5 linked regions of the Canis lupus familiaris genome follow. The protein of the gene in region 1 purifies or fractionates together with the protein of each later gene. This does not show direct contact. Links are inferred from orthologs where the notes say so. Each region holds a gene or a part of one and is shown in the gene's direction. Other genes may lie near its edges.

Evidence for each region.
Region 2: the proteins of POGZ (region 1) and CBX5 purify together in Homo sapiens (affinity purification with mass spectrometry; 5 studies listed by BioGRID and IntAct, with this or other methods). This does not show direct contact. The link is inferred for Canis lupus familiaris from reciprocal best matches to the Homo sapiens genes POGZ and CBX5.
Region 3: the proteins of POGZ (region 1) and ZNF428 purify together in Homo sapiens (affinity purification with mass spectrometry; 3 studies listed by BioGRID and IntAct, counting the BioPlex papers as one, with this or other methods). This does not show direct contact. The link is inferred for Canis lupus familiaris from reciprocal best matches to the Homo sapiens genes POGZ and ZNF428.
Region 4: the proteins of POGZ (region 1) and CBX1 purify together in Homo sapiens (affinity purification with mass spectrometry; 7 studies listed by BioGRID and IntAct, with this or other methods). This does not show direct contact. The link is inferred for Canis lupus familiaris from reciprocal best matches to the Homo sapiens genes POGZ and CBX1.
Region 5: the proteins of POGZ (region 1) and CHAMP1 purify together in Homo sapiens (affinity purification with mass spectrometry; 4 studies listed by BioGRID and IntAct, with this or other methods). This does not show direct contact. The link is inferred for Canis lupus familiaris from reciprocal best matches to the Homo sapiens genes POGZ and CHAMP1.

The regions. Positions count from the first base shown.
Region 1 is NC_049238.1:61,166,749-61,172,739, reverse strand, and holds the start of POGZ (pogo transposable element with ZNF domain), read left to right. Parts: upstream 1-2,084; 5' UTR 2,085-2,265; intron 2,266-4,565; 5' UTR 4,566-4,676; intron 4,677-5,991. UniProt on the Homo sapiens protein: Plays a role in mitotic cell cycle progression and is involved in kinetochore assembly and mitotic sister chromatid cohesion.
Region 2 is NC_049248.1:45,617,256-45,622,786, reverse strand, and holds part of CBX5 (chromobox protein homolog 5), read left to right. Parts: intron 1-1,024; exon of another isoform or gene 1,025-1,174; intron 1,175-1,310; exon of another isoform or gene 1,311-1,415; intron 1,416-3,144; 5' UTR 3,145-3,186; coding exon 3,187-3,323; intron 3,324-4,008; exon of another isoform or gene 4,009-4,454; intron 4,455-5,531. UniProt on the Homo sapiens protein: Component of heterochromatin that recognizes and binds histone H3 tails methylated at 'Lys-9' (H3K9me), leading to epigenetic repression. In contrast, it is excluded from chromatin when 'Tyr-41' of histone H3 is phosphorylated (H3Y41ph).
Region 3 is NC_049222.1:112,228,443-112,234,680, forward strand, and holds the start of ZNF428 (zinc finger protein 428), read left to right. Parts: upstream 1-2,746; 5' UTR 2,747-3,111; intron 3,112-3,467; exon of another isoform or gene 3,468-3,605; intron 3,606-3,664; exon of another isoform or gene 3,665-3,841; intron 3,842-5,588; 5' UTR 5,589-5,717; coding exon 5,718-5,793; intron 5,794-6,238.
Region 4 is NC_049230.1:24,317,745-24,323,275, reverse strand, and holds part of CBX1 (chromobox protein homolog 1), read left to right. Parts: intron 1-2,923; 5' UTR 2,924-2,960; coding exon 2,961-3,100; intron 3,101-3,585; coding exon 3,586-3,763; intron 3,764-4,552; coding exon 4,553-4,647; intron 4,648-5,531. UniProt on the Homo sapiens protein: Component of heterochromatin. Recognizes and binds histone H3 tails methylated at 'Lys-9', leading to epigenetic repression. Interaction with lamin B receptor (LBR) can contribute to the association of the heterochromatin with the inner nuclear membrane.
Region 5 is NC_049243.1:61,534,310-61,540,315, reverse strand, and holds the start of CHAMP1 (chromosome alignment-maintaining phosphoprotein 1), read left to right. Parts: upstream 1-2,241; 5' UTR 2,242-2,363; intron 2,364-6,006. UniProt on the Homo sapiens protein: Required for proper alignment of chromosomes at metaphase and their accurate segregation during mitosis. Involved in the maintenance of spindle microtubules attachment to the kinetochore during sister chromatid biorientation.

The DNA.
Region 1 (5,991 bases):
TAACCGCTGAGCCACCCAGGTGTCCCTATACTTTTTTTTTTGAAAAATGTTTTAAGAATTTATTTATTTATTCATAAGACACACACACACACACACACACACACACACACACACACAGACATAGGCAGAGGAAGAAGCAGGCTCTATGCAGAGAGCCCGATGTGGGACTCGATCCCAGGACTTGATCCCGGTACTTCAGGATCAAGCCCTGGGCCGAAGGCAGGCGCTTAAACCACTGAGCTATCCAGGGATCCCCAACTGTTGTTGTTCTAGGCCACTAAGTTTTGGGGCCATTTGTTATCCAAGAATAGATATTGGAACAATTTGTTTATGTAGATATTTCATGTCTCTCCCCACTAGAGTACAAGTTTCATGAGTTCAGGAATTTTGCTTTCTTTTTTGTTGTACTCACCTAGTACACGACCTGAGGCACCTAGACCCGCACCTGCATATTGCAAAGTACTCAATAAAAATGTGTTAAAAAAGTGAATGGATGCATGATGCATTTTCAGTATGGTATGCTAATGGTTATTGGTCAACAGTGCATGGTACAGTCTGCTGGACTAGACCTCATTGGCAGAGAGCATAAGTTGGCACTTTCAGCATGGGAAAATACATTTCAACAAGAATATTTCAGAGGCAAATAACTTTATAATGAATTATAATTATAGTAGGAAAGTATAAAATAGGATTTGAGCTTCTTGTAGAATTTGTCTTCTGGTGATTGATTCCATAATCCCATCTTAGGCTTTTCTAGATCAGGTCTGGAAAGGCTTCAGAAGTATTTTTGGAAGGATTGGTGATTTTTTTTTCAATCCAAATAATAAAGTTCTTGCTAAAAATGACACTTTGAGATCATTCACATGTACTTAGTATGAAATGAGATGAAGTGGAATGAAAATGGACGGCATTGTGTACACACAGGTGCATGAGGGAGCAATTTGTAATGCCTAATTCCATCGCCTATTTTCAGTCTGGTGGTTGAATAAAGTGCACATATATAAAAAAATGAATAAATATGGTTCTGATTCTCCCCAATCTTGCACAAAGTACTTTGATCTACATTGGCTTGGAGTAAATATTTGTGTATTGCTTAGAGAGCAACAACATACTCACATATCCAAGGAAAATTTTACAATATTATCATCTCTGAAAGTAAAAAAAGGACTAAATTTCTTAGATACCTGGAAAAGAGGTACTTCTTGTTCGGGGAAAAATTACAGGTGGCTGGTCTTGAATAGACTCCTTTCTTTGAGCCAATCCCCCTCAGCCTTGATCGGAGCAAAAAGCACAGATGTAGAATCTATGGTTTCTTAGAATTGAGGATTTGTGCCGAGTCTATTGACAAACGGCTTCAAAGCAGTTTCCATACATGAGTCACTTTGATAAGCAATATATGTGATTTATTTCCAGAATCCAGTAGGGTTCAGAGTAAAAATAGCTTTTAAAAGTTCTTCACTTAAGACTACTGCCACAAGGCTACTTGGCCAAATGCCTCCTGATGAAGAGTATGTGCCATTCTGCTGCCTTTGTTCCAAGGACAGTTGTTGGTGCCATTGGGTCTCACCACCTGGCCTGTGGCATGAGGTTCTCCTCTTGGTTAGGTACAAGACTTGAGTGGAAAGTGAGGAGGTGCCCAAAATTTCTTTGGAAAGTCCAGGCAAGTGAATTGGGCACTATTTTCCTTGGAAATTCCATTTTCCTCATCAAGATTTAGCTGTTGCTTCTGAAGCTAATTATTCTTATTTCATTTTTCTTAAATGTTTTTTATTTATTTATTTATTTATTTATTTATTTATTTGCAGGTCCAGACAAACTTGACTGGAAAAGAAGCCCGGGCAGGGGTTAGGATGAGCCCATGACGTGTCCCACGCCGCAGCCAATTGCGAGGCCACGAGAGGGGGAGGGCGGAAGTGACGAGACGTATCCCTCCGCGGAGCGAGAGGGTCGGTGGGGGGAGTCGGCGTCTCTCTCCCCCGCGCCAGCTCCCGTACACGGAGCCGCATTCCTTGGCCCCCCCACCCCCTCCCTCGGGGCCCCCCCGCCCCCCTCGGGAAAAAAATCCACCCCAAGTCACTGGAACCCGAGGGAGGTTTCCTTTCCCCCGCGGGGAGACGCGCTCTCCACGGTTCCCTCTCAGCCGTCTCCCCAAGCCCCCGTCCCCTCCCCTGCTCCCACCCCCTTCTCCCGGCGCCGGGTGCGAGGTCCCTTTAAGGCGACGGCGCCTTCCTCGGGTCAGACTACCGGCGGCGACGACCACGGGAGGTGAGTAAGCGAGCGGGCGAGCCTTCTTTCTCCCCACCCCCTTCTCCCGGGGGTTCCGTTATCTTTTCGCTCGGCGAGGCGCTCGGAGGCGAGACAATGAGAGGGGGATGGGGCGGGGGCGCGGGGGGTGGGGGCAGGGGCCCGGTGGCGCGCGCCCCTGCTCCCCGCGAGTGCAGCGCGGCCCGGGCGGCGGCGGCGGGCATGGGGCGCGGCTCGCGAGCGCGTGCGCCCCCGGAGCCGCGGGAGCTCGGGAGCCGCGCGACGGTCTGGGCCGGGCGGACCCTGCCTGCCTGCCTGCCTGCCTGCCGCCCGCCCCCGCCCCCCGGCGTCCTCCGCGGCGCGCGCGCGCGCACTCGCGCCCCACGGCCCCGCACACACCGACGTCCACACGCACGCCGGGCGCGAGGCGTCTCGGAGGAGTGGGCGGGCGGCGGGCGGTGGCCCGCGGGGAGGGGGAGGGGGAGGGGGAGGGGGCGGGCGGCTGCGAGTCGGCGGGCGGGGGGCGAGGCCGCGCCGAGGTGACGTCCCGGGGGGAGCGCTCGCTTCTCCCGCCGCGCCCTCCCGCCTCCCTAGGACTGGGGCGCTGTTCGGGCGCGAGGAGGAAAATGAGGGGTCGCTGTGCCGCTCCCTTGTGTTACGTAATCGCCGCTCGGTCCACTAGTACCTCCCAAGCCGTAGTGCGCTGCAGTTAGTTTACCAAGTCTCCTCCCTTGGCCCTAAAATTTCTCTGCGTTGGCGCCGTGATTTGTAAAATGGAATGGGGCGGAAAACCTTTCTTTCGGCTGATTATATCCTGCCGCGGTGGGCGCCATGTTCCTCCCGGGGACTATTTTGTCTAGATTCTCAGCACCTCCTGGGGAGGACTGATGTCGTTGATCCACCTGCCTCCCCTCCTTTCTGCCACTGACCCTGTTTTCCTCTCCCGCCAGACGCGGGATTCCTCCACGCTGTTCCTAACTGTGGACATAGCTCAGCTCACTTGTCTTGGGCCTTCTTTAGCCCAGAAAAAGAGATGGGAAGAGGCTTGGAAGTCAGTTGGCCCCATCTCCTCTCTGAGATGCACACGGGAAGACAATTTTACCATCTCAGAACCACCACCTTGTTGCGGGTTGTAGCTCAGCCTTCTACATTCTAGACACCTCCCACTGCAGTTCAAAACCCTGCAGAAATGGAGTTTTACTTTCAAAGGAGTTTCCCCATCTAGTTGGAGGGGAAAGAGCGGGGCAGAGAGGGCTGCTCCTTGGTGAACAACATTGAATTTCCAGACCATGATGTGTTGTTCTTGGGACCGGGAGTTGGACTCTGAATTCGAACTCGTTCTCTAGATCTTTAAGTTCGGGATAGCTAAAAAGTACCTTGGAGGTTGCTGAAAGTGCTGTGTTAGGGGCTTCGTCCTCAAGTCTTTTCAGGTGGGAAGGGGAGGGTGTGTGTGGTGCTATCTTCTCTAAATTTTAACCGCCACATAAAGAACTGTTGATTTAGCGTAAAAGTGCTCAAAATACAATCTTAAAACAATTTCATGGCAAATTACGTCCTTGATTTCCTTCCCCTTATACTACGGTTATGACACACCGGTCACGTTGGTGATGTATCTCAAACTAAAGGAACTAAGAAGATGAAGACTCTTGGGATGAACAGGATTTTGTTCGTTTCCACCCCAACCTTGAACCAGTGATATAATCTTGGAAAAGGTGACCCACTGACCTCTGGGGATCATTCAGAGCCTTCCAGGGGACCTGAGAGGTCATAACTATTTTCAAAGTAGAAAATACTAAGACACTATTTATCTTTCTTCCAGTGACATTTGCACTGATGGTCCAAAAAGCAAAGCTGAGTAAAACTGGTGGTCCGTTAGCACAAAGCAAGGCAGTTACACGAAACACCGTGTGAAAATGGCCTTGATGAAACAGTAGAAATGATTTTTGTTAAATCTCAACCCTTGGGTACATGGTTTTTTTAAGTTTTAAGAATCTTTGATCGAATAGGAAGGATGCATAAAGTACTTTGCTGACTAAGGAGGTACGGTCCTTCTCATAAGGAAAAGCGCTTGTGAGATTGAGTTATGAGCTGCTTGTTTCATGGAACAGCATTTTCACTTGAAAGAACTGACAAACTACAGTTTTTCACACTTTAAGGTTGCGCTTATATTTTCTTGACAACGAGGCGAGCATGTTATTTTGAGGAAACAATTGACAGTATTTGTTACCAATGATAAAAATTTGAGAGTGAAAATTAGAATTTGTCAAAAGTTGACATCTCAGGTTTAACAGTTTAAATATTTTCTATATTTATATTTGTAGTGAAATATGTCAACATTTGGAGGATGGGCATCGCAGTAAATCTATATTTTCCAAGCAACCAATGCTGATATTTCACAATCATCATAAGTAAATATCCTTTCAGAATGCAAGGTACACTAGTGGATTTTAATGTAATAAAATATGAAAAGTTCATTGATAGGGATTCAGATTCCAAGATGCAACTCTTCTTTAAGAAACTACCATTTGGGGACGCCTGGGTGGCTCAGTGGTTGAGCATCTGCCTTTGGCTCAGGGCATGATCCCAGTTTAAGGATCGAGTCCCACATCGAGATCCCTGTGAGGAGCTTGCTTCTCCCTCTATGTCTCTACCTCTCTCTGTGTCTCCCATGAATAAATAAAAAAACCTTAAAAAAAAAAAAAGAAACTACCATTTGTCGAGTTTTAGTATTGTGTCAATATACACAGCTGTCTGAAAAGGTTTTTGAATACTTTTCCTTTTTCCTGCTGTGAGGCCAGATAGTCTACAGCAACAGACTGAATGCATAAACACTATGAGAATCCAGCTGCTTTCTATTAAGCTAGACCTTAAATTTAGGCAAAAATGTAAAAAAAAAAAAAAAAAGGTTACTCTTTTTGGGAAAAATAGTAATTTTTAATTGAAAGTGTTATTTATGTCAGCTTGATGCCTCATTGTTAATTGTATTGATAAATACTTTTTTTTTTAAAATTTATTTATGATAGTCACACAGAGAGAGAGAGAGAGAGAGGCAGAGACACAGGCAGAGGGAGAAGCAGGCTCCATGCACCGGGAGCCCGACATGGGATTCGATCCCGGGTCTCCAGGATCGCACCCTGGGCCAAAGGCAGGCGCCAAACTGCTGCGCCACCCAGGGATCTCTTGATAAATACTTTTGTTTTAGTGTCTAATATGGTAAATATCAAAAGATGTAATCCATATAAATAAAAACTCTCTGAGTTCCTCAGTAATTTTAAGAATGTAAAGGGTTCTCAAGACCAAAAAATTTGAATAAATAAAAATTAAAAAATAAAAAAAAAAAAAAAAAAAGGGATCCCTGGGTGGCGCAGCGGTTTGGCGCCTGCCTTTGGCCCAGGGCGCGATCCTGGAGACCCGGGATCGAATCCCACGTCGGGCTCCCGGTGCATGGAGCCTGCTTCTCCCTCTGCCTGTGTCTCTGCCTCTCTCTCTCTCTCTGTGACTATCATAAATAAATAAAAATTAAAAAATAAAAAAAAAAAAAAAAAAAAAAAAAAAAAAAGACCAAAAAATTTGGGAATGACTTGGTGTGTCCTATGCGTCTACTTTTGAGATCATCCTAATCTGCTTCCATTTAGGAACCTCTGAAGAATTTACAAAATGTTAGTTGAAGTTAATAATGGAAGAGGCAGTGGCTTGGGGAAGAATTCTAGAGAAAAAGGTTGATTTGAATCTTGGCTCTGGATTACA
Region 2 (5,531 bases), on another chromosome or scaffold:
AAACCTTCTGTAGCTAAGAACTGTCTACTTTACTTTTATACCTTAAAATTTCTTCTATTTCATAATTTGTTATTAATCACTATTTTCTGCTTTTTCCTCAGTTGGGTTCTTTGCTTTTGATTATCCCTTTTTCTTACTCTCCTGTGGCAGCAACCTCTGGCTCTAAAGACCTGAACTGTAAAGCAGAAGGCTCTAGAGCTCTTGAAAATGTTCTTTAGGGTCAAGAGAGAAGAAACTTTATGGGACTGCAGGTCTCTAAGTAGCTCTTTTTCTTTATCTCTATCATCCTTTATTTCAGGTATTAGGGATTATTGATACGGAGTTTTAAATTATTATATCTTAATGCTTCAGGTGGGTAGTAGTTATTTGAAAATTTGTTTCATAATGTTACAGTCACAATTAATGAAAAGTGGTTTTAACTCAGTAACAGTTGTGGCTGAACTGTTCTCCCCTCTTTTTTTAAGAACTACATAAGGATTACATTTTTTTTCCTACCTGTTAATTTCGGTGGATAGGTTCTTTAATAGTGCTTCAAGTGTCTGGATTGTGTTTCTGTATCTAGTAATCCCTCAAAGAAGGAAAGTTGTATAGTATCCTGAAATACTTCCCTTCCCCCCCTTTCCTGCTATCCCCTCATCCCCCAAGCAATTTTAATTAACTGTTCAGTGACAGATGGCAAAAAAGGCCTTATTTAAAGTGCTTCTGGTGGGCTGGGTTAGGGGTGAGTGGTTTGTACTGATCCTGTTGTAGAAGGGCCTAGCTTTTCCCCTCCCCCTTCTAGTTGAGCTATAATCCTGTTAGATGATCTTAAAATGCTATTGATTAATTCCCAGTGCTCTTAGAGGAATAAGCACAGGTTTTGGGTTTAAAACGCAAGAACCAATTCCCTTGAGCTCTGAATGCCTTTGCTTTGAGACCAAGGGAGTACCTTCCAACTTCTCCACCCAGTCTTCACTGAAAAGGAAAGTTAAGCCTTTTAACTTTTCCGTTTGCCTCTCCCCCCCCTTAGTCTAGTACTGCTGCCAGTTGCCATGGCAACGGGCTGGGACAGCTGCGCAGTGGCTCCCAGGCAGCTGGGTGGGGGCGGGGGAGCTGCCAGCCCGCCAAGCCCCAGACCTGGGAGGGGAGGCCCCTCCTGTTAGCCCAGAGGGAAAGAAAGAACTGGGGCGATCCGGTAGGTAAAGGAGGGAACCCCCATTCATCTTCTACCTTTGGGGTTCCTCTTCTGCATGAAGGTATAAAGGGAGATTTTCTTCTTTCCTCCCTCAAACTGAAGAACACATATGTAAATCCTTGTTTTTCCTCGTGAGGCAGGGGAGGCCATAGCCACAATGCTTAACTGCATGCATCTAACCCGGGGCTGGTTTTAACCCCAGCGCTCTGACCTAAACAGCTCAGCTCCCGGAAATTCCAAGGTGAGTGGGGGTGGGGGTGGGGTACTCTCCCTGGAATATGACATTTCCTGTCTCTAGTGAGGTTAGAGGCTGTTTTTATTTTAAATAAATAAGATTTTTTTTTTTTTCTTGAAGCTTAGGACTCTCTTCTAAATTCATGGAAAAAATATTTTGAAACTCCTGTCTACATTCTCCCCCTCCGTCCCCTTTTCCAAGTAAAGTACTTTAATAAAAACTTAAGTTTTTTTTACAGGGCAGTAGTGGATACAGACAGTATTTTGGGTGGGCAGACCTATTGCTAGTAGGTTCTAGAGATATGGTTTCCAACTAGATGTTCTTGGAATAATTCCTTAAATTTTGCTAACTTGAAGTAAATTGATAAATGCAACTTTTTATGTTACTTGACTTGAACACAGTTCTGAGATTAGTAGTGGTGGCCTTTCCTGTTCCTGGGAGTCGTCTTCTAGTCAGGATGGAAATATTTTTAGAGAGTGCTGAAAAAAATCCTTTAAGCTTACAGAAAAATAAAAATGGAGTTCAGCTAAGAAAACAATTCCTGCTACTCTATATTCCAGACTGTAGGCACCATTTAACATGGTTAAAGAAGAATTCTTAAAAATGATTATGGAGACGACAATGTGGGAATTTAAAAAAACTAGATTCTGCGTTGAGTACCCCCTGGTTGTGCATATTTCTGAGCTTAACTCAATTTCCATTTGTGTTGCCTTGCTTCAGCTTTCCTTGGGCCTATGAATGGTTCCTCTGTGCTTTGAGGCTTCATGTTGATGTGAGTTTGGGGCCAGACTTCTTTCTTTTTCCTCCTCTTCTTCCTTTGGCCCAAAGTCAACTCCAGTTAAGAGAGGTACCTCCTCAACTATTTGGATTAGTTGAGCCATGAGAATTACTGAACAATCCAGTAACTAATTTTTATTTTTTGGACTAAAATTTTTTTTCTCTCTCTGCCTCTCTCCCATCCCCAAGTGAAAAAGGTGGCTTAGTGTATCTGAGATGCCAGCCTTGCTTTTGTGAACTGATGGGTGCTCTGTAGGGACAAGCTCAGTTTGTTTAAGGGAGAGAGAGATATACCAAGTCCCTGAAGACAGTGGTAAAAGATACCTGAGCTTGCTAAGAGACTAGACAAGATTCTCTGGGCTGAGGTTACATTTTGGAGCTTTTTTTTTTTTTTTTTTAAGATTTTATTTATTTATTTGGGAGGGAACATAAGAGAAGCAGGGGGAGGGGCAGTCTACCTGCTGTGCAAGGAGCCTGACTACAAGAAGTCCTGGGATCATGACCTGAGCTGAAACCAACTGAGCCATCCAGGTGCCCCTCTTTTTTCGTTTTTATGAAGAACCTTATTCACTTCATAGGGAAAGGTTTTAATTCTATCACTGTTATTTTAACTAATAGTTTTCTGCATTTATTTGAGCTCCTGGCTTGTAAAACAGTTATAGAAGTACTCAGGAGTAATATACCACACCACTTGTCTTTGGAATCTGAAATTAGAGAAGTTACACAGTTGTGTCTATAATAATGATGTTGGCCTTGTGAGCTGATAAGAAAGTTGTGGTTGGGAAAGTGGTGATTGACCCATTTTTTGCTTATATTCTTAGGACTCCTCTAGAATGCATCAAGACCCAAGAGAAGGGTACATGGCAACTTTGTGTTATACCCCCTGCGTTCCATCAAGAAGAGACAAAGTTTTAACTTCTTGCATGGATTCTGACCATACTGTCCTTCCTATTTGCAGGAACCCGGTGGCCTTAGTCCTTCAGGTGGAACAGCTTGCGACATGGGAAAGAAAACCAAGCGGACAGCTGACAGTTCTTCTTCAGAGGATGAGGAGGAGTATGTCGTGGAGAAGGTGCTAGACAGGCGTGTAGTTAAGGGGCAAGTGGAATATCTACTGAAGTGGAAAGGCTTTTCTGAGTAAGTGCTTCTTTTAGGCCTTAGGACTCTGTAGAGGTGGACACCTTTTTTCCTTCCCCATGAGCCACTGCCGTCTTTGTCTTTTTCCCTCCTCACTTGCACTCCTCCTGAGAGTTTGAAGACGTAGCAATAAATTAAAGAGTCTCCTCTCCCTTGGAGCTGGTGTTTTAATGATAACGCTTTTGAGAGAGAGTATAATGAATTGGCTAGGTGCATAGACATGGAGCCAGATTGCCTAGGTCCAGATTTTGTTCCACCACTTGTGAGCTGGGTGACTTTGGTTTAGTTCCTTAATCTTTTTCCTCCTCAAAAAAACAGGAATAGGAAATGGTACTTGTCATAGGGATGTTGGGTATATGTAGAGCCTGACAGGTAAGCTTAATGTTAAGTATAAACTGTTACTGGAGCACCTGGCTGGCTCAGTCAGTATAGCATGTGACTCTTGATGTCCGGGTTGTGAGTTGGAGACCCACATTGGGTGGAGATTACTTAAAAACAAAATCTTTAAAAGCATAAACTTTTACTGTTAATATTCTTTTGCATATAACTAAGCTAAAATTGTATACATTTAAGCAGAAGTTGTTTATTCCATAGCCTATACCTCTCTAAAATGATCTTTGGATCTTACAAGTGACCTAGGATGAAGGACTCATCTTAATGAGAAACTTAAATCTGAGGCCACATTTTTTCCCCCTAGTATTTATTTTTTTAAGTTCAAATCTACAGCCGAGACAAAAGAAATTGAGTAAACACTGAGATACACACCACCTAGTTTCTGCAATCAACACTAAGATATTCTAGCTTTTTGTTTTTGTATTTGAAAACCTCAGAAACCCTTTTTTTAAAAGTCAGCTTTAAGAATGATACTGAGTATTGACTAGAATGTCTCTTAGGAAGTAACTGGCTTTATGCTGAAGTGCTAGAGGTGATTATTCTTTTTCCTTGGAGTAAATAGAACTAGACACATTGAAGCACAGAAGAGGTAATTTGAAAGGTGAAATCTGTGTAATCATTAGACATTTTGCCTCAATTTCTGATTAATTATCTTCCCAGGATGCCTGATAACAAAGAATGGATTTTCTAGAATCCTAGTGCAGTGGTAGAAACTGTTGTAGGCTTCTTGGAGTGGCTCTGCAATAGAAATATAATGCAAAGCATGTCTATAATTCTACATTTTTGTTGGCCACATTAAAGAAAAGTGAAATTAATTTTAATTTATCTAACACAGTATATCAAAGTGCTGTTTTAACATTAACCAATATAAAATTAAGATATCTTACTTTTTTTAATATCTTAAAAATCTCATGTATATTTTACATTTTATAGCACATCTCAGTTCATAGTAGTCACATTTCAAGTGTTCAGAAGCCACACAATATGTTAACATATTGAATATCACAGCTTTAAAGTATAGGACTTATTAAATGTAGTAAAAGGTTCAAGTGTTGATAGTACCTTTGGACAAAGGTCTGAATCAGGAGCCTTTGGAACATAAAGTTCTTTCATTACGGAAATCAACATTTCTCATTTGGAGCACTTTTGACATTTTAGATGGGATAGTCCATGCACTATAGGATGCTTAGCATCTCTAGCACACAGTGCTAAATATGGGTAGCACAGCAATCAGAATATGCCCTTTATATTCCAAAGAGGAATCGTATCACGGCATTCTTTAGAGATGAGAAATTACGAGTTTGAGAGACCTAGAAATAAGAATTTAAAATAACACCAAAAGGTTTTAAGGATGTTTATTGGGCCCATTGAATTACCATTGGAAGTTGTTGGTCATTTTGAAGGTACTTAGGACTATATCTGTATTTGAGTTACAGTAACTGGTAACTTACATTGATTAAAGAGGGAAAGAAAGTTTGGGGCAGATGAATTAAAAGCACTTGTCCTTACTTTCTCGGAAATGCCCGGGAATTCATTACAGACTGGAACAAATTTTGCCCCATTAGCATTGTCTGTAACTAAGTACCTGCTGATTGCTAGGCAGTGATCAGATTCTTCTACCTCATGTATTCTCTTTAATTCTCATAACAGCCTTTAGAGGTATTTTGAATGTACAGATGAGGAGGTTTAACAAAGCTATTTGCTGAAGATAGCATAACTGGTAAGTGCTGGCACAAGGATCTAGTATCAGATTACTTTGGCCCTAATTCCCAGGCTCTTTTAAAATTATACCATGCTATCTTTTGGGTAAAAATG
Region 3 (6,238 bases), on another chromosome or scaffold:
GTGGGGAGGGGGTCAGATTCTGGGAAGGGTGGGGTGGGCAGGGAAGGGGAACACAGATTTCTTTGGGGGTCCTAGACCCCATGCCAGCCATTGTAGGAGTTCCACAGAGCTCTGGGCACCTCTTTGCAAAGCCATGTTTGCACGGTGGGGGTAAGGGTGGGGGGAGGGCATGGAAACAGGGATTCTGTGTCTTTGTGTCATAACTTTGATGGGGGTGGTGAGGGAGACAGCCCCAACTATTTTCTCCAATCCCCAGGTTCCTGGGCTCCCCATCCCTCCACCTCTCCCCCCCTCATATCTGTCCTATCCATATTTGTCTCCCTGTCCACCCACTCCTGGGGGGCCTTCCCCATCTCTCCTCCAGGCCCTCCAGGGAGAGGGAAAGGAGTTTGGGGGGGTGCGTTGGTCTCTATGGTTTTTATATATAATATATTAAAAAAAAATTAAAAATCTGTATGAAAATATCAGATTGCACCCCCCTCCCCTCTTTCCTGGCTTTTGCCCCCTTTTTCTTGTAAAAAAAAACAAAACAAAACAAACACATTTTGTACAGGGAGGGGAACGGGGAGGGGGTTTGGCAATCCCACTAACCACCATTAAACTGAGGAGAGAACAAGTGTCTGGGGTGGCTGTGTGTCTGTCCCTCTGCCCAGAGCTGCACCATGTTGGGAGGGGAACTGAACCAAAGGAGGGAGGAGGGAGAGGAGTAAGATGGCTGCTTGTGGATGGTACAAGCCAGGAGAGGGCCCTTCCCTTTTCAAGGGCACCTCCACCCTTCTAAGAAATATGCTTTTTTTCCTGGCCACTTCAGGTGCCAAAAGTCACTGAGTCTTGTCTCTTCAGTACCCACTGAGCTACCCCGTCCCCAGCCAATGGCCCGAATCCTTCCCCTGGTTTACCCCTATCCCTGACATCAATCTCCAAAGGATCTTGCAATTAACTCACATCGCACCATTATAACACCTGCCCCTGCTCTGCTCAAAACCTTTCCCTAGCTCCCCATCACCTCTAGGTCAAGTCAAACCACCTTAGCCTGGCATTTCCTGCTCCTCATTCAGTCAACTAAATTTTAGGTGAGTGATTCTAATTTTAGACTAAAACATATATTGACCTCTTTGTGCCAGGTGCTGCTCCAAGATCTGGAGATGCCATAGTGAATAAAACAGGCAAATATTAGGTGTTCTAGATGCCTTAGCACTAACCTGAAACTTGATCCTGTTCTAGGCACTGAGGACCCAAAGAAAAAGGAGGGTGACTCCATTCTTACCCTCACGCAGAGCTTCCATGAGGAAAACGACTGCAGCAAGGAAGAAAAAAAAAAAAAAAAAATTTCAGATTGCCATAGGTGCCCTTAAGATAAAATGCAGAGTAAGGGGATATGGAGTATTATTAACTTATCATGGAAAACTTTGAACACAGAAGTAAACAGAACAGGACAATGAAGTCCCATGCACCCTTCACCCCAGCTTCCACAACCATCAATTTGTGGCCAGTCCTGCTTTATCCACAACCACACTCACTTCTCTACAGCAAATCTGGAGGTACCATCTTTGAAAGATCAAGGAGAACCTGGCTGATTGACACCTGTGCCAAGATATGAATGATGAGCATAAGATCAGCTATTCAAAGATCAGCGGGAAAAGCATTTTCAGGCAAAGGGAACAGCAAGGGCAAAGGCCTGACGTGGTAAAGAGATTGCAGAGTTTGAGGGGAAGTGGAGCTAGACTAGAGTGGATAAAGAGAGATGAGTGAAATCAGAGACAAGAAGGGGGAGATCATGTGTATAGCTTCACAGCCATGATAGAGTTTGAGTTTTTTTCTAAGTGTAATGAGAGCTCATTGGAGAGTTCTGTGCTGGAATCTGAGTCAATTTCCGGGAAGCCCAGAACCCTGCAAAAGTTTTCTATATCGTCAGCATCAGCGTAGTCTGGCTCCTCACCTATAGGAGCCCCTTCCCCTCTCTTTTTAAATATTTTTTAAAATTTATTCATGAGACACAGAGAAAGAGGCAGAGACATAGAGGGAGAAGCAGGCTCCATGCAGGGGGCCCAATGTGGGACTCAACACAGGCACCCCGGGGAACCCTCTCAATTCTGTTTCAGACATACTATCGCTTTCTCAATCAAACCATGCACTACTTTTTGCCTGGAGGCTTCTACCCTTGCTGTTCCCTCTGCCAGAAAAACTCCTATCCTGGTTGGCTTCTATTCATCCTTGGCTTAAAGATTACCACCTCTTGGAAGCCTTTCCAAGCTGGGGTACGCACCTCCTCTGGCTCCCACAGTTTCCTATACTCCACTCATCCCAAGTCTGAACACTGGGTTGTGGTTCTGACTTTGTATGGCTCCCCTTCCTTTGATTGGGGTGCCATGAGGGGCCAGGTTTGTCTCCATACTGCGGAAACCACAGTGCTCACCTGCACAGGGCTTGGCACAGGAGAGAGCAGTAAATATTTATGCTGGGGGTAGAGGAGGGCTTGTGAGGGTTTGGTAAGTGTCTTGGCCCTTGTGCCCCCTCTCCGGATGCAAACTGATGCCAACTAAAACAAGGCCACCCACTCCGCGCTAGTCCGCAATCCGTGAGCGCATGCGCTTTGTTCAGGAGCGCCCCCAGCCGCCCCCCCACCCCATATGCTAATCACAGCGTTCTGGAGTACGGCCTCTCCGGGGAATATGCAAATTGCCCCTTCACCGCCGTAGGGCTCCTATTGTCCCTCACTAAGATTATGCAAATAAGCAAGCCTCAGGTCCAGGATCCCGGCCTAGCTGGCGGCCCCCAGCCCCCAGCTCATTCCGTTTTCTAGAAGGCGCGTTGCCGCTCGCTCACGCACGCGCAAGCCTTGCAGTTTCTGGTTCCGTCTAGCTGCGGACTGTACCAAGTAAACCCGGACAGCGAGGGGCAAAGCCCGGAACCCCCTGCGCGGGCCTCGTCGATGGCCCGACTCACGGAGCCCCTCTTCCCACCGAGCGATGGGAATGGTCCATCTCGCCGCGCAAGCGCCCTAGGCTCCTCTCGCCGCTTTGCACTCCCTCCTCCCCGACTTGCAGCGCAGGCGCAGAGCCCAGGCGTGCAGCCGCCGCCGCCGAGCCAGAGCGGGGGCCGCTAGCGCCGGTGAGTGTCCGGGATAGGGGTGCGCGGGGCATGCTGGGAAGCGGGCACTACGGCACCGCTGCATGATGGGAATGACGGCTCCCGACACCGGGGCGAGCAGGCAGCCGTCTTGGCCCGCGACGGCCGGAGGGCGAGACCCGGGCTCCCTTTTCTCCCCCCAGCGCGGCTCCGTGCCGTCCTGGGGCATCCTGGGGGAACGGGACGCTCCGCCCTAAGGCATTGTGGGAGCCGGTCTGCTGGTCGTTATGGGCCTAGTGCATTCTGGGAAGGATTATAGCTCCTTGTGGGGAACGAGTCCCTTTTGTCACACACCTTCCGCTGAGCGTCGCGGAAGCCTGGCGTGCTTCGACGCCGAACGCCTCGGAAGGTGGTCGCTATAGGCCCGAGGCATCCTGGGAAGAGTTGCCGCAGGGCATTGTGGGGACTGGTCCTTATCGTCCTGTGTGAGGGTTTGCTCTGCCCCCTTGCCCCAGCCTTGTGGGAGCGCGTGCCTAGTATGTTCACGCAGGGCATCTTGGGAGTTCGGTGCTGTAGGTTCAGGATGTAGTAGGGCCTTGGCGGGTTTTTTTCCTTGTGATGGTGAGGGAGCCTCATTTGTGCCCCTTTAGAATTCTGGAAGCCAGTATGGCCACCGTAGTTGTAGGAATGGGACCAGCGCATCAAAGAATGTCTCCACTTGACATCTGGAAAACTCTGGAAGGCCCTTGTGTAATGTGGGTTTGGGGGGAAGGTAGGCTGGACTGGTAAGCAATGTCTCCTGGTAATCTCTTGGGAAACCCTGATTGTAGCGTGTGGTTGCCAGGTAACATAGAACGTCCAGTTAAATGTGAATTTCAGATAAATAACCTTTTAGAAACGTGTATCCCAAATATTACATGGGACCTATGTATATTAAGTAATTTCCTGCTTATCTGAAATTCGAATTTAACCAGGCATGGTCTGTTTTTATTTACTGAATTTGGCAAATTTATCCTGGCATAAAGTAGAATTCCCAAATTAGATGGGACCCAACAAGTAGTATGATATCATGACAATTCTCCTCTGCAGATTATGAATCTCCCATCCTTAAAGCCCAGATCCAGGTGTCCTTAGAAAACTCCCCTGCTTGCTACCAGCCCTCCCATGCCCCAGTCTCCTCCAGGCTTCACTTTTTTTTTTTCTCTTTTTCTCTATCTTTAGCCCCCAGCATTAAACTTGACTTCCAGGCTTTGAAGAGATTGTGTATTTTCCACCATTGTATACCCAGTACCCAGCACAGGTCTTGGTATAAAAAGGTGTAGCTAAAATAAAAAAAAAAAAAGTGTAGCTGAGGCTGCCAGCCCTTTCACTAACTTACTCTTCCTGGCTTTCTACTGCCAGTGAGTGCAATGGGAGACAAAAGAACTGTGTGTGTGTGTGTGTATGTGTGTATGTGTGCGTGTGTGTGTGTGCGCAGCACATGGATGTATTGGTGAAGAAGGATAGGAGAGAAAGGAACCCCTTCTGGGAAGGGGTAGAGATGGTATTTGGGCTTTGAGGTGGGCTTTGGAGAGTGCATAGGAGTTCACCAGGCAGACTAGGGGAAAGAAGGACATTCTAGACAGCAATAGCAGGATTTGCTAAGACCCACAGATATGAAAAGTCCTGGTGTCCCCAGGGAGAGATGAGAAGTCTGTAATGGCTGGGGGTTTATAGGAATGGTTACAGGTGGAAGTATTAGCAGCCACTGTTACTGGAGTACCTGCCACATACCAGCAGTTTATACTGAATGAGCCTAATGAATCTTCAAAAAGTTTTTTCAGTCAGGGGATCGTTTTATGAGAGGTAGGATAACATCAAATCCTAGTTGGTATGACTTGAACTACTTGCTAATCACCTCTGTGTCTCAATTTCCTCGTGTACAAAGGAGATGATAATCTCTCAACATAGTTATAAGGACTACTTGAGTTAAGCTCTGGAAGCCTTTTTGTACTGAGAAGGATACAGGCTAGAGAAGTTAAGTCCTTTGCTTGAAGCTACACAGCTAGACTGGCAGATTAGGGTTCAGACCTAGACTCTATCTTGCCAAGGTGTAGAACTAGGGCTGACACCAACCAGTGCTGTCATACACTTGTTTAAATATTGAAGTAATTTTAGACGGATTGGTGTGTCACCACTACCTCAAGTAATTCCCTACCTTCCATCTGCCACTTTGGACCCTCCCCCAGCTCTAGACTTTCTCACAAACCGGCAACTAAAGTGTTTTAATTCCTGGCATAGGACCATGTTCCCTTCGGTTCTGACTGGTACCCACACTGGTACCTGCTGCTAAATTTTTGGAATATTACCTTCCCCGCTCCACTGACAGCTTTGTTGCCCAGATGGGGGAATTAAGATCTATAGAAGCAGGGGCTGTCTTTTCCTTTCCCCCAGCACTGAGCACACAGCTGGGCCTGGGGAGGCAGATGCTAATGTAAAAATTTATTGAGTCACCACAGGCCTTTCCTTCCCCTGCTCAGCATCCCGCTCTACTTGCCGACGTCCTGCACTGGAGAACTTGTGACCAAGGTGTGGCTGTGAAGAGCTGGCCGGGGAGGGACTCTGCCTAGCTGCTCCTCTGCTCCTGTCTCCTGTCCCCTCCCCTGGCCATGACAGAGACCCGTGAGCCCACTGAGACTGGGGGCTATGCCAGCTTGGAAGAAGATGATGAGGACCTCTCTCCAGGTGAGGCAGCCTTAGAGATGGTGGCATTACCTTGATTATCATCCTGGCTTGGAATTGGGGCTCCACTGAGCAATCTAGATGGGGAGTGGTCCCTTGTCTCCCTAGGTGTTCCATTCTGACTGGGACTGTGTTCTCTGCTAGTGGAATCCTTCTGGCTGAGACTTCTGGGCATTGTAGATTGGCTAGGATTGTTCTCCTTATCAGGGGATCGAGATCGGCTGTGGCGTCTCTCCTTGCTGTATGTTCTAGATCGGCTGTGGCCTTTCTCCTTGCTGGGGTTTCGGGATTGGCTGTGGTCTCTGTCCTTGCTGGGGGTTCGAGATTGGCTGTGGTCTCTGTCCTTGCTGGGGGTTCGAGATCGCCTGTGGTCTCTCTCCTCTTGGGGGATTCTGGATCGGCTGTGATCTGTTTCTTTTCTGAAGGTTCTGGATTGGTTGTGAGCTCT
Region 4 (5,531 bases), on another chromosome or scaffold:
TTAACTATTTTTGGATTGTTATAACCCATTGTTTACCTTCCATCTACTGAGAAAGGGAGTATCTTCTAATTTCCAAGTCCAAATTAACATAGAGAGTTGTGGTACCCTTTGTTATCAAAGGTAATCTGTTTTTCTCCACACATTAACCAAAGACTGAAGATGAATCCTGCTTACTCCTTCAACTCATAGTGGAAAGAAGCAAGGGATAGCACTTCTTCTGGGGAGGAAACACAACTGCATTTATCCAAACAGAAAACTAAATTTTTCTTTCCTCATAAAATAACACTTGTCCTATGGCAGTCAGAATTCTGAAAACCTGAAAGCATCTCCTTCCAGAAAGAAGTACACACAGCCTCTGAAGCAGAGGTACGATGAAGCTAGCCAAGTATTAGCCAGGTTACATTCAATCTACTGATTAGTCTGTACAATAAAAGAAGAAAGGGGGGATCCCTGGGTGGCGTAGCGGTTTAGCGCCTGCCTTTGGCCCGGGGCGCGATCCTGGAGACCCGGGATCGAATCCCACATCGGGCTCCCGGTGCATGGAGCCTGCTTCTCCCTCTGCCTGTGTCTCTGCCTCTCTCTCTCTCTGTGTGTGACTATCATAAATAAATAAAATTAAAAAAAAAAAAAAGAAGAAAGGGAATTTTCTCTAAAAGAGGTTGAGAAGAAGGAAAGCAAAGCAGATTCTTAAGTATGTAAGTGGAGAGGAAGAGTGTTGAAAAAGATGCCTCTTATCTGAGAACAGATGAGTGTTCTGAACCCCTCTGTATACAGGGCCTTGGGTGTTGCCTTAGACCACACTAGGAGCACTCCAGAAAACATTGTTTTATGCCACTCTGTAAAAATTCAGAACAGCTTTAAGTGGAAGTGGTGTCTGCTTTTTTTCTTTTCAGACATTAAGCATCAGAAAGCCAGGAACCATTTCTTATTCTCTTGAATCTCCAGTATCCAGCAGTGTCTAGATTTTCTAGTAGTTAAGTAAATGTTTCAGTAAGTAAGCATTTCTCATATATGCAGACATGGGAATATCTCAGAGTGAAAAACCAAAGCTTCTGCGGATAATTTAACTGCTTCATAATGATGAATTCGACTTTTATGAAAATTTGTTATATTTTATATAGTCTATATATGGACTTAAATATTCTATCTGTACATGCCAGTTTTAAAGTATATTTAGAAGAGTTTCTATTTTAGGCTGAGTGAGACTCCCTTTCCCGAGGATGCTAGTATCCAGTTTAACCCCAAATCAGCATTGCCTTGAATTTCAGACGTAGTAACTACTTTCTTGGCTTAGATTATCTGCCATACCCTTAATTCTTTGTATGTCATTGTGGGCAATTGTGACCTACCAGTTTGTAGATTTTTGGCCAGTTTTAAAGCTCAATTTTGTTGTATTGATATCTTATGGCGCCACCTACTGACACAAATTGGTAAACAAATGGCTTCAAGTCTACCAGCAGTCAAGAGTTGTATTTGAAGGACTAAAAATAGATTAATAGGGGACTAGAATTTTAGCACTAGAAGTCACCCAGCCTGAAGATGTATTTTACAAAAGAATAAGCTCAGGTTCTATTATCTGTGATAACTATTTTTTTTGCCTGCCATTTTCCAAATTATTGCAGTGTCTTGAGTTTAGAGGATTTCATGATCATTCTGGCATTTTTACATTTTTTTTTAAGATTTTATTTTATTTATTCATGACAGACACACACACAGAGAGAGGCAGAGACACAGGGGGAGAAGCAGGCTTATGCAGGGAGCCTGACGTGGGACTCGATCCCTGGTCTCCAGGATCATACCCCAGGCTGAAGGCGGCACCAAACCGCTGAGCCATCGGGGCTGCCCATTCTGGCATTTTTGAGTATTTTCCTGCCTCAGAAATAAGCTAAGTAGAATAAGAAACTAATAAGAAACTTTGACATTTTAAACCATTGGTTCAGAAAAGACTGCAAAAAGAGCTTTGAGACTCAGGAAGAAGTGTTTAAGAATGTAAAGAAATGGGTTGTATTATATATGCAAATACAAAAGAAAAACCAGATGTTTGATAAATAGACAAGCTACCTCACACTAACATTTGAAGTCTAGTAATATGAAAGTATAGATCAGAGGATTATATGTATATAAATAAGTCTGATGTATGTACATTATTTTTAGGAGCCTTGCTTTCAATTTTATTTATTTAGTTAGTTATTTTTAAAGATTTTATTTATTCATGAGAGACACACGCACAGAGAGAGAGAGAGAGAGAGGGAGGCAGAGGGAGAAGCAGGCTCCATTGCAGGGAGCCCAACGCGGGACTCAACCCTGGGTCTCCAGGATCAGGCCCTGGGCTGAAGGAGGCACTAAACTGCTGAGCCACCCGGGCTGCCCCTATTTATTTATTTTAGGAGAGCATGAGCAGGAGATAAGGGCAGAGGGAGAGGGGGAGAGAAGGAAGGAAAGAAGGAGACTCCCCCACTGAAGGGAGAGCCTTGCACAGTGCTCGACCTCCTGACCCCAAGATTATAACCTGAGCAGAAACCAGGAGTCGGATGCTTAACTAACTGATCCACCCATGCCCCCCAATTTAATATTTTAGATACATGCTTTACAGTAAGAGGGGTATTGGGAACTTTTTAAACTTAGAATAGGTATAAAACTCTTAAGTGGAGATACAACAATAAAGAAGCTGAATAAAGTTTTGCGGTGAGATTGGCTGGGACTGTTTATGAACTTTCTAGCTTAATATATCAGAAAGCCTTATTTAAAAAAAAAAAAAAAAGAAAGCCTTATTTTATACTGCAGTTGTATAGGCAGAACAGCTAATACAAGCAGCATACACCATTAAAGTCAGAGCTGTCCCTGGATTTCTAACCATCCAAATATTCACCTAACCAAGAAAAATGTGCCCTAACGCCCTTTTTATTTTATTTTATCACTTTAGCAGCGTCACCCTTTAGACCAGAAAGCTGGCGGGCACTATGGGGAAGAAACAAAACAAGAAGAAAGTGGAGGAGGTGCTAGAAGAGGAGGAAGAGGAATATGTGGTGGAAAAAGTTCTTGACCGTCGAGTGGTAAAGGGCAAAGTGGAGTACCTCCTAAAGTGGAAGGGGTTCTCAGAGTAAGTTTCATTAACTTGGGTAAATCTATCTATTTAGTCACTGACTATTTCTCAGGAGTCTAGTAATGCGCAAGGCCTAGGGTGCTCTGATGGGTAGTATGACCCAGGCCTGGCCTTCATGGCTTAGAGTCTAATGAGGAAAACTGTCCACATGTACAAAGTGCTACAATGCCAGACAGTGATTTATGAGAAGCAGTTTTATGTGCAGCTTTAGACTGATTCAAGTTTGCAAAGAAAGTAATTTTCCTTTGAAGAAGGCAAGTTTCTAAGCTTTTAATTTACATTAAAAAGTCTGATGCCAACCCCCCTGCCCCAAGAAATCTCAGTGTTACCAAGGTTCTTGGTCTTGGACAAAATCTGGATACTCATTATCATTAACTCCTCTTTTCCAAGGACACCAGCTCTCGTCATCCTGTGCATCTCCTTAGTATGAGTGTGCTAACTTTTGAGTGGAAAGTGTGACTCACTGTGCCCTCTGGTTTCAGTGAGGATAACACGTGGGAGCCAGAAGAGAACCTGGATTGCCCTGATCTCATTGCCGAGTTTCTACAGTCACAGAAAACAGCACATGAGACAGATAAATCAGAGGGAGGCAAACGCAAAGCTGACTCTGATTCTGAAGATAAGGGAGAAGAGAGCAAACCAAAGAAGAAGAAAGAAGAGGTAAGGGGAGAACAAGTTTTACTAGCCCAGAATTCCTACTGCTGTCAAAGCTGAAAAGCCTTTTAATTTTTAAATTTAAGGAGTTTTATTCTGCTGCTTCTTGGGCCTCAGCACCCATCTCTCCTTCCTCTGGAATCTTAGGCTAATGCTTATAAAGTGTTTGGGGGTTCACTTTGCTGAAGCCATGTAATCTATACTTTATCCAAGTTTCTTTCCTTTTTTTTTTTTTTTTTTTTTAAGATTTTATTTATTTATTCATGAGGGACACACAGAGAGAGAGAGGCAGAGACACAGGCAGAGGGAGAAGCAGGATCCATGCAGGGAGCCTGATGTGGGACTCGATCCTGGGCCTCCAGGATCACACCCCGGGCCGAAGGCAGGCGCTAAACTGCCGAGCCACTCGGGCTGCCCTACTTTATCCAAGTTTCAAGAATAATAATGAGTGCAAATAAATTCATTCCTATAGATAGTTTTCAGTGTTGTAATCATTACAGGTGTTAGCTCTATATTTATTCAGTACCTTAAAGTAAGTTATCTTCTGAGGGTGAAGAAACTGTTGTGAAAATTTATTTTGCTTGAGATGTATGTCCCTTTTTACATATGGGGAAACCTCAAGACCTTGATGGAAGAATCACTCAGAAGGATGCATAAAGGCCTGTGACTTGGAGCCAAGGTATTGATGAAATACTGACAAGAATGTGATTATATTAATCAGAGGAGCAGGAGTGACTCTAGTCTGGATAACAGTCCCACATAATTAAATTTGTTGCATCCATCTGATTTTTACAGTCAGAAAAGCCACGAGGCTTTGCCCGGGGTTTGGAACCAGAGCGGATTATTGGAGCTACAGACTCCAGTGGAGAACTCATGTTCCTGATGAAATGGTGAGTCTGCTGGTGGCCCTGTGTGGTGGTTTTTTTCTTCTCCCCATCTGTTCCATGCCAGAGGAAAAGAGCTGGATCTTCGAAATTCCAGTCGCCCAAGTGTGAAATCTTTAAGATGGCATAGTCCTTCGATAGTGACCCTCGGCCTGACTGCCAGCCTGGACTCATGAGTTACAGGTAGGGGCCCTTAGGATTCTCAGATCTTTGCCCCATTTATTAGGAGGTGGGAGAAAATCCAGGATGGAGAAGGTACAGGGAAGGATCACATTTCACTTCTGTGAATGAAGGGGTTGGGAATGAAATGTGATTGAACCACCTTCCCCTTGTACAACCTCCTTAATAAAAATTGGGCTGGCCCCAGGATCAGAAGTTCTGTTAACTTCTCAGGGTTATTTAAGAATTTCTGTAGCTCTTCCTTTGTCTTTGATTGTTAGATCCTTTCCAATTTGTGCAGATTCTGTAATTCCAGGATCAGCCAGTAGGGGTCAGCAAGTCACCTTTACTGTACTGAGAGCATAGAGTAATAGGCTATTTTTTTCCATTAGAAGTATGAATACCAATGGTAGTAATACTCCACAAAACAGCTTAAGGAAAACAGTTGTCTTGAGAATGATAAGAACTTTAATTAACCCCAGATTCCCTAAAATATCCCTATTCTCTGCCAAAAGGAAGGCTTTCTTTTCTTTTTCTTGCTGGTTGAAAAATGTTTGTGCTTTTTTCCCCCCCCAGGTAGGTCTCAAATATTGTCCTTAAAATATAAATTAGGAGGGAATGATTCTAAGCCTTTACCAGTTAAGGCAGAATTTTAAGGATTTTGTCCTTTTGTCAGTCTAGAATCTTCTCTTAAATTCCTGTCTATACTAATTCCTCTTGCTTAGAAGGTG
Region 5 (6,006 bases), on another chromosome or scaffold:
AGGGTGGGAAATGGCTAGAATCTTAAAGCTGGAAGGAATCTCAGTGTCCAGCGTCTACCCAGGAGCTGAATTCTGCAGCATGCTGATGGGAAAGACGTCATGGTATTTCAGCAAAGGTCCAGGATCAGGCATCCTCTGACCTTCCTAACTGTTGTGATCCCAAGCACTTTTCTCCATCAGCATCAGTTTTCTCGATTCTAAAGTGGAGAGTTTAGACTCAAGTCATCTGAGGATCCTTTCAGTCCTATACTGACCATTGGCTTGCGGTTATGGAGGGCTCTTACCTGGGAATGCAACTCATTCTAGTCCATGATTGAGTAGTTTGTAAAACTTTTTCTTAAGCTGGAATCTGTTTTCCTGCTGGCTTCCACTTGTTGCTTCTAGGATACCTTACATATTACCCATAATTCTTCCACTTGAAATTAGTCAGTTTCCGTACTCAGAAAAGACATGTTTTTTTGTGTGTGTTTTTTTTTTAAGATTTTATTTATTCATGGGAAACACACACAGAGAGAGAGAGAGAGAGAGAAAGGCAGAGACACAGGCAGAGGGAGAAGCAGGCTCCATGCCGGGTGCCGGGAGCCGGACGCGGGACTCCATCCCGGGTCTCCAGGATCAGGCCCTGGGCTGAAGGCAGCGCTAAACCACTGAGCCACCTGGGCTGCCCAAGACATGTTTTTAAAGACTGCCTGCCATCCTGGTTGCTTTCTTTTGCATGTTGCCTAGTATTCTAAACTCATCCTTCCTGCCCAGAGCTGGAGACAGTGATCCACTGGGACATTCTGTCTGATGTAGATGATGGAGTGCAGTTCTCTGTCGATTCGTATTACTGATTTTGTCCATTACACTAGTTTGTCAAGATCTTCTAGGTTCTAGTGTATTAGTTTAGTCAAGATATATTAGAAAGAACCTAGGTAGATGACAGAACTTTAATCTCGTCCTTTGTGAGATGCTGATTACTTGCTTCATCTTGAGCAAATTACTTAATGTCTAGGTTTGAATTTCTCAGCCATAAATTGAAGTTTCAAAGTAGATGATCCCTGAGGTCTTTCTGCTCTGAATCACAATGATTTGTAAACTAGATGGTAGCACAGGTCTCTTCTAGTTTTAAAGTCCTATGAATCTAAGATCAAGTCTCTAGTCTTCATGATGGGATGTTTAGAGGTAACGAACGGATACTTTATGAGCATATACCATGTGCCAAGAATGTGCAAGGGTTACAGGGGTGAACAGGCCCTCTGAGAGCCAGACTCTTGTAGTGCAAGAGAGTAATGCCTACATGGAAGGTGTGCACACAAAGAGAGTTGGGGAGGGTGTTGGCCATTGTTTTTTAGGAAGTAATTCTTCCTAAAGGATGGAGAAACTTGCCCGATGGCCGAGTGTGTAAACTTACCATGCCAGGGAGTATAAAGTAGAGGAAATGCCTGTGTGAAAGTCCAGAGGCTAGGTTTGTATTTAAAGGAATGAAGTCCAGTCAGGGGACAGACAGATTGTGAAGGGCTATATATACCGTGGTTTTGTCTTCTGTAGGTGTTGGGGGATATTTTGAGGAACTGTGAGCAGGCCAATGGCATTAGGTTGTATTTGGAAGATGACTGGAAACAGTATGGCGATTGGATGGCGAGGAAGTAAGGCTAGAGAGGCACAGACAGCACAGCTATCCACATTACAGCTTGACCATGGGTAGAGTGGTGTGCTGTGCACTATCCCCTGGCTTGTTCATGGCCAGTTTTGTTCTTGCTATTCAAGTCAACAGCTTACCCGGACCCTGACACATTCTCTGAAATCCATGTTTGAAGAGGCTGTGCAGTCACTGGAGCACCACTGTCCTTCCTTATCCTCTGATGCCTCTTCCTTCTTTGCCCCTTGGTCCTGTGGACAATCTTGTCCCTTCCTCACTACCTGTTACTTTACTGCTCTGCAGTGTAGTGTGGATAATGGACAAAACATCAGCTGCTCCTGTATCCTGTGGTCTCGGCAGCTGAAGTGAGACGATGAATTTGCTGTGGTTATAGACAAGGGTTCAGGATTCGGTCCTGGATTTTAAAATGGAATAAGATGTGGGTGGTGTCATTGGTAGTATCCATGGTTATCTTTGGTATTATTTCATTAAAGCAAGTGGATTGACCCCAGTCACTGTTGGCAGGGAGCAGGTCAGCAAGAGAAATAGGCAGAGTTCTTTTGCATAGATTATCACAGAAATGTAGTTTTGATTACAGTTCCTTTATTCTTTTTTTCCAGGTCCATCTTATCATCTTTGTTCTTCATGTACTACAAACTATTTTCTATAATTAACTCAGAAGCCATGTAGACTTGCTTGCCCTTTGAAGACATACTTTCAAGGCTTCTAGGAAGATAAACTGGTAAGTCTACCAGAGAAAGTATTGTTGGTCTTTATTTCTTCCCTGCTCTAAAGGGAATTGGCCTGGATTTATAGTGTTATTTTACCAGCTTTACTTTGCATATTGTTTTTGTTTGCTTTATAACAATTAGGAGAGTATGTTTAAGATGTGAACATTTTTGAGAAGTGCTTACACCTAAGGAAAATCTACAAAAGCACATATGTGCATACATAATGATGCATGAAGATGTGACAGGTATGCATATATATGACAGAGTTTGGGGTTTGAGAAGTGAATTTTAAACAATTCTTTAAAAAATTTTTTTGAGTAAGGGGTTACTAGGGTCTGATAATGAGGCTGGGAAATAGACACTTTGAGACTGGCCAGAAGAGTTGATGGTAAGAAGAGGAAGAAATAGAGAGGGGCAGGTGAGGGAGATGGGAAACACCCAAGTCTAGGGAGCCATCGGAATTAACACAGATTGAGAGGGAGCAGGATCGGTGAGGAACTGATTGGCACTCCATGGAGGGTGAGAGAGCTGATGATTTAACATGCAGCAGTTAAGGACAAAAGGAATCCAAGCTGAGGTGGCTGGGGGCCACTTGGAGGCAAAAGCAGCAGGAATTAGGGCAAGTGGTATTCATCAAAGATAAACTAATTGGGGATCCCTGGGTGGCTCAGCGGTTTAGCGCCTGCCTTTGACCAGGTCGGGCTCCAGGCATAGAGCCTGCTTCTCCCTCCTCCTGTGTCTCTGCCTCTCTCTCTCTCTCTCTCTATCTCTCTCTCTTTGTGTGTGTGTGTGTCTATCATTCATAAATAAATACATCTTTAAAAAAAAAAAAAGATAAACTAATTTACAGAAGCAGCAATAAAATGTAGGGTTAGTGTAAAATTTCCAGAGAGGCAAGAAACAGAGATACAGCCAATGGAAAGTAGAAGTAAGCAGAAATAGTGGTAGAGTTTTGCCTATAGAAAGCAACCACAAGGGGAATCCCTGGGTGGCTCAGCGGTTTAGTGCCTGCCTTTGGCCCAGGATGTGATCCTGGAGTCCTGGGATCAAGTCCCACATCAGGCTCCTTGCATGGAGCCTGCTTCTTCCTCTGCCTGTGTCTCTGCCTCTCACTCTCTCTCTCTCTCTCTCTCTGTGTCTCTCATGAATAAATAAATAAAATCTTTTTAAAAAAAAAAAAAAGAAAGGAAAGGAACCACAATTCTTTCATAGGAATGGGAACAGGGGGTGTGGTTCTCCAGTTGTTGCACTAATGTTAGAGATGTCAATTTATGAGATGTGGTTTTATTTTCTTTTTCATTTGGTAAGTTTGCCAGAAACATTTTTTTCCCTTAGATTTATTTATTAGCAAGAGAGTGAGAGCATGAGTGGGGGGAGGGCAGAGGGAGAAGTAGACTCCCCACTGAGCAGGAAGCCGGTATAGGGCTCCATCCCAGGACACTGGGATAACAACCTGAGCCAAAGGTGGGCTCGGGCTCCTAACCAACTGAGCCACCCAGGCATGCCATGGAAGCATTTTTTAAAAACTTTTCTGATGACAGAATAGTGTGCTCAGTAATTTCTGTAGGAAGAGAACAAAATGCTTTACTCTTAAAGTTCATAATCTGATTCCTGTATTATACACTTATTGGGCTTATTGATAACCTCTATTTTATGAACTAGTATTGGTAAAAAGTTGATGAGTTAACATACAGGAAATGAAAGTTGTTTTGTTGATAGGACTGTAAATTAGGCAAAGACAATAGAGAGGTACTGAGTAAGATACTTTCTCCCACTCTACACTAGTTTCTTGAGAAGATGGGAAAAGTTTCATAGTTAACAGTTTAAGTTTAAGAAACGCAAGTTGTGAAAGTACAAAGTCTATCTTCCTGTCATAAATAGGACTTGAGTATATTTCAGATGAGATACTGCGTGCTGGTCAGCCATAACTTTAGCAAGGTCATTGGGCAATATTTACTTACCAGAAACTGAACTGTTGGTTAGAGGATGCCCTTGTAGTTTCTAGTATAATAATCATAGCTGACACCGACAGTTCACCATGAGATACTGTTCTAAATATGCTACAAAATATTAACATCCGTCCAGGAACCTGAAACGTAAGTTCAGCAACCTAACAAAAGCCATATACTGGAACCAGGACTCACTCAAACCCAACAAGCCTGAGGTCTTAACCTCTGTGTCATATATATGCAACTTAGGGTTTATTATACTATAATGATGGTTTTTAATATGTAATGTCCCCCTTATGAACATCCCTTGACTGTTGATTGTGGCCGTTTAGGCCAGATGCGGTTATTGAGAAATCGCTGCCTTTTCTTATAACATTCTTATACTTTTATGAGACACTGGGTTTTAGGTGGATCGTTAACCTGCACATTCTTTCTACATGTTATCTTCATTATGTTTGCAAGTTTCAGAGATTTTTTTTATTCAGTATTCAGTGATTATATTCTTTTTTTAGTCAGCCCATAGAGCCCTAAAAACAATTTTCTGAAAGCCAGGATAGTTGCAGCTCCTGAAGCTCCTGAAGGAGCTAATACTTTCTGAAAAGCACTCGTTTGTTTCCTCAACTGTCTTGTCACCTTTTTATATTTAAACTGCTACCCCCAAATGCAAATAATAAACCGGTAATATAGGTGATAGAAAACAGTGTTGTAGGCAATAACATCTTCAAGACAAGTTCTCAAAATTAGAAATACTGTACAGTTTTTTAAGTTATTGTTTCTGAAATTATTAAAGGGGATCCTCTTAATATAAATAAGTATCTCTAATCTGTATTGTAGTTTGAGGAGCAGTAACCTGGAAGGAATACATTTTGACCCTGTAATTACTATTAGCACAGAGCACATTAAATGCTCTTGGTGGTAGCTGATACTTTTCGTAAAGGATAGGACAGGGACGCCAGGGTGGCTCAGCGGTTTAGCACCTGCCTTTATCCCCAGGGCATGATCCCAGGGTTCTGGGATCAAGTTCCACATCAGGCTCCCTGTATGGAGCCTGCTTCTCCCTCTGCCTGTGTCTGCTCCCCGCTGCCCCCTCCCCCCGTCTCTCATGAATAAATAAATAAAATCTTTATTTTTTTTGTAATAATAAATTCATTTTTTATTGGTGTTCAATTTGCCAACATACAGAATAACACCCAGTGCTCATCCTGTCAAGTGCCCCCCTCAATGCCCGCCACCCAGTAACCCCCACTCCCTGCCCTCCTCCCCTTCCACCACCCCTAGTTCGTTTCCCAGAGTTAGGAGTCTTTATGTTCTGTCTCCCTTTCTGATATTTCCCACACATTTCTTCTCCCTTCCCTTATATTCCCTTTCACTATTATTTATATTCCCCAAATGAATGAGAACATATAATGTTTGTCCTTCTCTGATTGACTTACTTCACTCAGCATAATACCCTCCAGTTCCATCCACATTGAAGCAAATGGTGGGTATTTGTGGTTTCTAATGGCTGAGTAATATTCCACTGTATACATAGACCACATCTTCTTTATCCATTCATCTTTCGATGGACACCGAGACCCCTTCCACAGTTTGGCTATTGTGGACATCACTGCTATAAACATTGGGGTGCAGGTGTCCCAGCGTTTCATTGCATCTGAATCTTTGTGGTAAATCCCCAGCAGGGCAATTGCTGGGTCGTAGGGCAGAT